2 linked regions of the Diceros bicornis minor genome follow. The protein of the gene in region 1 purifies or fractionates together with the protein of each later gene. This does not show direct contact. Links are inferred from orthologs where the notes say so. Each region holds a gene or a part of one and is shown on either strand. Other genes may lie near its edges.

What was found.
Region 2: the proteins of KDM5B (region 1) and PAX9 purify together in Homo sapiens (affinity purification with western blotting, with the first as the bait; 3 studies listed by BioGRID). This does not show direct contact. The link is inferred for Diceros bicornis minor from reciprocal best matches to the Homo sapiens genes KDM5B and PAX9.

The regions. Positions count from the first base shown.
Region 1 is NC_080777.1:30,853,686-30,857,589, forward strand, and holds the start of KDM5B (lysine-specific demethylase 5B), read right to left. Parts: upstream 2,605-3,904; 5' UTR 2,590-2,604; coding exon 2,410-2,589; intron 1-2,409. UniProt on the Homo sapiens protein: Histone demethylase that demethylates 'Lys-4' of histone H3, thereby playing a central role in histone code. Does not demethylate histone H3 'Lys-9' or H3 'Lys-27'. Demethylates trimethylated, dimethylated and monomethylated H3 'Lys-4'.
Region 2 is NC_080744.1:12,973,991-12,977,894, forward strand, and holds the start of PAX9 (paired box protein Pax-9), read right to left. Parts: upstream 2,551-3,904; coding exon 2,547-2,550; intron 1,798-2,546; coding exon 1,171-1,797; intron 1-1,170. UniProt on the Homo sapiens protein: Transcription factor required for normal development of thymus, parathyroid glands, ultimobranchial bodies, teeth, skeletal elements of skull and larynx as well as distal limbs.

The sequences.
Region 1 (3,904 bases):
CTCCCCCTACCTCCTAACAAGTAAAATACCAATAGCCCCAATCCCCATTTTAATACAGCCACTTGTATTCCAAAAACTTAGTGAACAAAAAACATCTAGAAACACAGGCATTAAAAAGCTAACGCCATGGAAAATACTTCATACTTCTTGGGTTTTTTTGTTGCTTTATTTCAACTATATAAAACCACTTGTTCACAGTTAGCTTCCTAAAACAAGAGTTTCTAAAACAAAGACTGTTTTTCTCTCTTAAGAAGTCTTTGTTCCAACAAGACCCTTCTTCAAGAGCTACAACTTCTGGAAAATTTTCCCTTTTCTGGTTATATCAACAACAAATACTCCCAAACTCTTTCCATTTGGTACAGAAGTTTGTTAAACAAAGGAAGAAGCAAGCCCCCTCCACATAAAGAAGGTTTCCAAAACAGAGCACTGGTTAAGTGTGTAGATTATTTGTGCCTCTAACACCCTTTCCCAGGCTGTAGTATGTACTACTCTCATTACAAAATGGTGGCCATCATGTCTGTCTGACATTCAGAATGGGAAAAGGCTATTGCCTTATCCTGTACCATCACACATTTTGCAAAGCTTACCACTAATATCTTAGCCAAAAAGGGGAAATGGGTAGCCAAACCTAACCAGAGCAACACAGCCTTTTTGGGAAAAAAGCCCTAAAAAAAGCAAAGAATAAGAAATAAGATAAAGGGTTTACCCTAGTACTACACCACAATACCAACATGGAGGACAACTCACTCCCAGGAACCTGACTCCACACATTCTGGTTACCAAAAACTTGCACTGCCTAAATTTCTGAATAAAGTCCCATTAAGGCAAACGTACAATATTCATATTCACGTTTCCTAACATATAACATAAAACTACACTAAATGTTTGAAACATGACCTATTCTTCAAGAATTAAAACCTTGGCTCTAATCAGCCCGGTTTTAACTTCTGCAGGCCTCTTCGCTCTCTAAAACAAATGCACTTCCCTTAAGCAACAAGAATCAACCTTGTCCACTTCTTGAGCGAAACGCATCTACTTTCAAACATTTCTCCCATACTCGCCGGGCAGTTACTTTTCTGAGACATATTTCATCTCCATTATCAAACTTGTCCAAGAAAAACTAAAGTATGGGGTCCCTGTTTTAATCTGGGGGGACAGGGAAGAGATAAGGAAGACTTATTGAGGGATCTCCCTCAAAACAGCTTTCCAAAACACAACGGTTACGTACAGAATCCCCGGAACCCCAAGTGTCATTACGAAGAGCAAGCTCAAGAAAGGAGGGAATGGAAGGGGGCTCTTCCTCATGGGGGTGGGGTGGGGTGGGGCGGGGGAGGAGAGCGGGGAAGACTCCAACTGTAGGAAAGACAGTTAACCCCCCCACACAACGGTCCCAGCGCGTCCAACCGTCGTTTAGGCCAACTCAGCCTCAGACCATCAGAAAGGTGGGCAAAAGAACAGGGTGGGAGCGCCTCCGGTTCCGGCCGGGGGTGGGTAGGGGGACAGGGAAGGAGTGGGCCCGGCTCTCCTAGCGAGCGTTGGGGCCGTTAGAGGTGGCAGCAGAGACCCCCGCCCTCACACAGCCCCCAGGCCGGGCGCCCCACACGGGGCTGGAGGGCCGCGGCGGGGGACGGGACGCGGACACGAGCGTTAACCTTCCCGGGTCTTCTCGCCGACCCCCCAACCCAGCCCACCGGCACGGCCCGGCCCGCCGCCCCACAACGCCGCCCCCAAGCACGGCCGCGCCGGGGCCAGCCCGCGGCTCCTCGCGCCCCCGGAGGCCCCAGGCCCGGGGGACACGGGAGCCCGGGGACCAGGGGAGTGGGCGCCCCGGTCCGGAGGGTGGGACGCCCAGGTGAGGCGGCTCCGGCCCGCCGCCGCCGCCACACAAAGGACCGGGCGCCGCCGCCATATTGAGAACTTTCCTCCGCGCGACAACTCGCGCTCCCCGCCCCCACTCTCACCGCCGCCCCCACCTCACACTCGCGTCCCCACTCTCACCGCCCCCCACCTCACACACAGCCGCCGTCACCACACACGTCCCACACACTCCTGCACCCCCACTCACACTCGTCCCCCACCTTTCACCGCCCCACACCCGCCCCCTCACACACCCGTCCCCTCACACACCCGTCCCACACAGCCGCGCACGCACCCCTCACACATCCGCCCCTCACCCCGCCGCCTCCCCCAGCTCACCCGCCGCACGCAGCCCGCGCCCAGGCGGAGCCCCGGCCCGGCCCCGGGACCAAACCCCGCGCCGGGAGGGCAGCCGGCAGCCGAGCACCGCGCCCCCTCCGGGCCCCGGGCCGACTCCGGGTCGGACGCGCGTCCCCGGCCTCAGGCGGCCCCGCCGCCCCCGCTCGCTCCCCTCCTCCGCCCGCCTCGGCCCCGACCTCCCGGGCGACTCACCGGCGGCGGCCGCACCTTACAGATGCCCGTCTGCTCGGCGATGGGCCGGATCTTGTGGATGAAGGCGAAGGGGTCGGCGAACTCCTCCCAGCTGGGCTCGAAGACCGGGCACTCGGGGGGCGGCAGAAACTCGCCCAGCGGGCCCGGGCCCCCGAGGGGCAGCGCGGCGGCGGGCTCCATCCACGCGCGGTCCGGCGGAGCCCTCGGCCTGCTCTGCCTCCTCCTCCTCCTCCGCCGCCGCCGCCGCCGCCGCCGACGACGACGACGTCTCGCCGCGAGCCCACGCCGTGCGCCTCCGCCGCCACGGCGAGGAAAAGGAGTCCCGCCCCACCCCCACCCGCCGCCCCGGATCGGGCGGGGCCGGCCTCCCGCCCCCGAGGGCCATGGAGTGGACCCTGACCGGCAGCTCACGACGAGCCCGAGTCCCTTCACTCAACAAGTTACCGGTCTAGTGGAAGGATCCGACTTCGGAGTGGACTGCTCGAGCATGTGGAGACTCCGCGGTCGGCGCCACGATAGCAGCGCGCACGCAGTAACCCGCAGAGGCAGAGCGCCGGGCACGGAGAAGGACTTTCCAGGGAGAAGGAACAGCTCCAACTAAGGACAGCGTGGACGGACGCGAGGAAACAGTTACAACGATAGTAACAAGCTAACACTTTTGAGCACTTGCACATTCTAAGTGCTTTGCATGATTAATGATTTAATCTACACAACAACCCTATGAGGCAGGCACTCTTACTTCCACCTTACAAATAAGGACAGCGAGGCACAGGTTAAGCCGTTTGCCCAAATTCATACGCTAGTAAGTGACGGAGAGTCGATTTATTGGAGGGTGGGGGTGTTGCAGGAAAAGAGTGGTCCACGAGCAATATGACTGCGAGGTTGGATGTGAGAGCAGCAAAAGACTTTTGAAATAATCCAGATGAGAAATGATGGGGCCCAAATTAAGGCAGTAGTGCTGTTGATTAGGAGGAAGGGATGCAAAAGTAGGAGATAAAATTAGGACGCGGTGATAAATTGGCGACAGTAAGGTATCAAGGATGATTCAGGAGTCTAGGGTGCATGCGTGAGTGGATGCTGGCCCGTTGGCATTGCTGGGCCCTCACCTAGATTATATAAACAAGGAGAAGTCAGTCTGGGGAGGGAGATAATGTGTTCACTTCTGGACATGCTGAGTTTGAGCTGTCTTTGCTACAGTTGAAGATAGCCAACAGGATAAAGGGTATAAATCTGAAGGGGAGAGATCAGAACTGGAGATGTAAATCTGAGCGTTATTAGTATATGAGTGATAGCTATTATTTATCTAACGCTGACTGTGTATTGTTGTAAATGCGTTGGTATGTCATTGAATCTTCACAACTATCCTGTGGGGTAGGTACTGCTATTATCCCCATTTTGCAGAGCAGGCAATGGAGGCACAGAGAGGTTAAGTAGCTTTAAGAGATATGAACACTTTTAATGCACTTTTGTGGGGGAGGGTGTGCGTAGTGTCCTG
Region 2 (3,904 bases), on another chromosome or scaffold:
TTTCCCGCTTTCCTATTTCATTTTTCCTCTGTGGTTTTTAAGCTTTTGGCTGAGAAATTAAGAAGGTAGACTCTTTATCTCTGCAGTATTTAAATTCTCCGTCTAGGGCGTTCTGACTTTCTTTTTTCCCTACCGAGAAAGAAGTTAACGCCGTGTTTTGTTTTAACAACGCAATAAAAGAAAACAAACTGGGGTCTCCTGCGGAAGCCCGGCTGAGCAGGAGGGCTCGGAGAAGCGTTCTTACCAAGCAGAAAAGACACGACACGGCAAGGTCAAGGACGAGAAAGGAAAGGAACAGCGCGGTGGCACCCTTGAAAACGTGCCGGGACTGGATGTCCACTTGCATTCCCGGGGACCGGGGGACCCCAGGGCGAAGCGGCAGGCGCGGGGAAAACCGGAAAGAACAGAAGAGAGGACAGCACGAGTCGCCATGCATTTTGGCTCCATCACAGCGGTGGTTGGTGCCACTTCCTAACATATATATAGTGAAGTCTGTCAAGATAAGGAGGGGAGGGAGAGAGAAATAAAGCAGAAAATTAGTACCAGAATGAGCAAGGCAGTGACATGCAAGTTACTAGTAGTAACTTCGGGACCTCGGTTTCCGAGGAAAATGAAGTGAAGCATAAGAATGAAACCAATTAGGTGACATTTGAACTTCCTGCCTGAGCAAATTTGGCCTGATTGCCAGAATCCAAGAAGAATACTGCAATTTCCACAGGGTGCCCGACTCCTCGCAGCCGCATCTGATTCCCAAACAAGCTGCCCGCAGCGGTGTCTGCAGCCGGCAGCCCCACGCCGGCTCGGGCCCCCGGGCTGCGCCCCAAGTCCGGCCCCGGCCGCGCTCTCCAAGTGAGCGAGCGGGTCTGAGGCTGCGGCAGCGCGAGAGGCGGGGGAGGGTGGAAAATGCGAACCATGTGTTGGGGATGGGGGGATGTTATGGGTCTGGTAGTTTGAGATGAGGCAGGAGACTGTGTGTGGCAAGGAAACGAAGGGCATGAATTTCAAGTTAATGAGATCAGGACACCCCCTGGGAGGACTCCTTACATTTCCAAAGGAAAAAGCCTCCGGTGGTAGGATAGACGCGCGCCCCAAGGCCGCAGATAACGGAAACCCCAGCGAGGGTGCGGAGGGAGGCTCTGCACATCCACGCATCCGCCCCTGAGCCCTTACCTTGGTCGGTGATGGAACGAATGCCCAGGATGTCGGTGACGGAGTGGGAGGAGGGCCAGGTGCGCGGCATGGCCACCGAGCCGGGGATGGCGGGCACCCCGGGCGGCGTGGGCACCTTAGCGGTGGCCGCCGTGATGGGACTGGGGTACGAGTAGATGTGATTATAGGGCAGCGCCGGCTGCGGCGCCGGCTGGTGCTGCTTGAATGAGTCGTAATGCCCCTGTTGGGCCAAGTTGCCGATCTTGTTGCGCAGGATGCGGCTGATGGAGCTCACTGAGGGCACGTTGTATTTGTCACACACGCCGTCTGCCAGCAGGCGGTCCCGGATCTCCCAGGCGAAGATGCCGGGGTCCCTCTGCTTGTAGGTCCGGATGTGCTTCACCACGGTGGGGGTGGTGACCCGGGGCTTGCTGCCTCCAATGGCTCCTGGCAAGATCGAGCCTGTCTCGTTGTAGCGCGCCAGGATCTTGCTGACGCAGCCGTGTGAGACCCGTAGCTGGCGGCTGATGTCACACGGTCGGATGCCCAGTTGGGCCAGTTCCACGATGCGAAGCCGGATGGCGTTGGGCAGCGGCCTCCCGTTCACGAATACTCCTCCCAGCTGGTTCACCTCCCCAAAGGCTGGCTCTGCAAAAGGAACACACGGCACGCGGGAACGCGCACCCGCAGTTTGGGACAGCCGCTTGCCACTCGGCCTCTGCGCCCGTCAGGGGCCAGGGCGGATGCAGCCGCCCCGGACTAAGGACTCCGGCTTTCCCCAAACCGTACGGTCCCTGAGCCTAGCCGAACGGCCCCAAACCACAGCGGTCCAGGCGGACCCCCTCCCTCATTCTGGTGACGCCTGCGGCCGCTACAAGCAAATAAAATGGTGCGAGTCAGGGCCGCTCTGAGTGTTCAAAAGTCTCCGAAGCAGGAGGGGAAATCGGTCTTCAGGCCGGCAACCGGCTCCTTCTTGCCTGCTCGGCGCTAAAAGTCATTGGGCCGCTGCCCCTTGATCCCCAGCGCCCCGCCTGGGGACCTGCGCAATTAGACAAGGGCTAGGGGGAACTACAGGTTTCTTCTGTTTTGTTTGCGCGGATGCGTGTAGTGAAACAGAACTTGGTCCACCTCTAGGCCTGGGGGCTTGCCGATGCCACCCCTCCGTTCTCTTAAAATCAGAAAATGGCATCAACAGCAACCCAGTAGCCAGCGTTCAGACTGAACTGCTGTGCGACGCTGACCCTTAGCGGGTTCCTACAACTTGTAGGAACACGAACAAAGTCAATAAGGAGAGCGCGAGCGCTCAGTAGTGCGCGCCCTCGCGCTCCCTCCCTCTCTCGCCCGCTCGCTCCCTCCCTCCCTTCCCGGCTCTGACAGCGTCCCCCGCCGCCACTCACCCATTGCTCCGAGCAGTACACCGACCGGGCCCCAGTTCCGCACTCGCAGAAAGAAACTTTTTGCACGGCCTCAGTGGCCCGGCCAGTCGGTGCCCCGGGCCGCCGGCGCCTCCGCTTCTCCCCGGGAGGAGGCGGCGAGAGTGCAAAAGGAAGGAGTAAAAGGAAGTCTGTGCCCTGATGAAAGAAGCTTGAGTTCTGCATTTCAATCTAAGCAGCAGCGTGGGCTGGGCTGAGCGGGGCCGGGCGGCTCCGTCTATCACTCATTAGGGTCACGCCCCCAAAGAGGAGGGTCCGAGGGCAAGCAGCGTGGTGATTGGTGCGGGCCAGTGAGCGACAGCGCGGTCCGGAAAGTCCTTCCGCTGTCTCGTTCAAGCCTGCTCTGCACCTGGGTGACTAAATACAATGAAAATGGGTGTTTGACACCTTCCCAGGGGCAGCGCAAACAGATAGCAAAATCGGGCTGATGGAAATGCTGAATAAGCAAATGAAAGCGTTTGGTCCGCGTACTAGAGACTCGAAGAGGGGAGGGGCTGAGGAGACTGATTTGGGGGGAAAGACGGACATCTCAGAATTGAAGTCAAAACTCGGTGGGTGGTGGGAGCCACCGTCATCGGAAGGGGGGTTCTTAGAATAGCTTGTCCTGCAGGCCTCCGGGGGATCCTACCTCACTCCAGCCTAGCCAGGTGGCGAGAGAGCAGATGTGAGAAGGTAGGCCCGTCGAGGGGACGAGGAAGTTTTGAGGAGACCCAGCCAGAGATGGAGGCCACTGTTACCGCCAGGTGGAGACCCCTCTCCCGCCCCCGCGACTAGCTCCCCATAGCAATCTCTAATGGGTTCATCTAAGAGCGCGGAGCCAAACCTCAGCCACGCAGGCTCGAGGCACTGGCCGCGCCGCGTGCAGACAGTGTAACCACACGCGGCCAAAGCGAGGGCACGGCCATGGTCGACCGATTGCCTTCGCGTGGGGCCCTCTTCGCGGAGGCCCGCGCGCCGTTGCGCTCAGCCACCGTGCCGGTCCGCTGGTCCTGCGTGCCGACGTTTGTCATTTCCCCCCACCCCTGAACCGCTGCAAAGGGGTTTTGTTTAAAAATGAAAGAGACTTGGTCTCAAGAAGGTGAACCCCGAGCCTGCACGTGTATGTAATTCCCGCGTCTTCCGTTTAGCTATCAGAGTCCTTGCGTGGTCTACTTCTGAATTTTCACTTTCGTTCGCTCTAAGTCTCTTTTTGGTGGCCAAAGTTACTCACATTCTGATTATGGATTATGGAGAATGTTAATCAAAATTAAAAACAAGATGGGGAACATTTTAAATAAACTTGGGAGTTTGTTCTGCTTCGGATCAAGGATACTGATACTGAT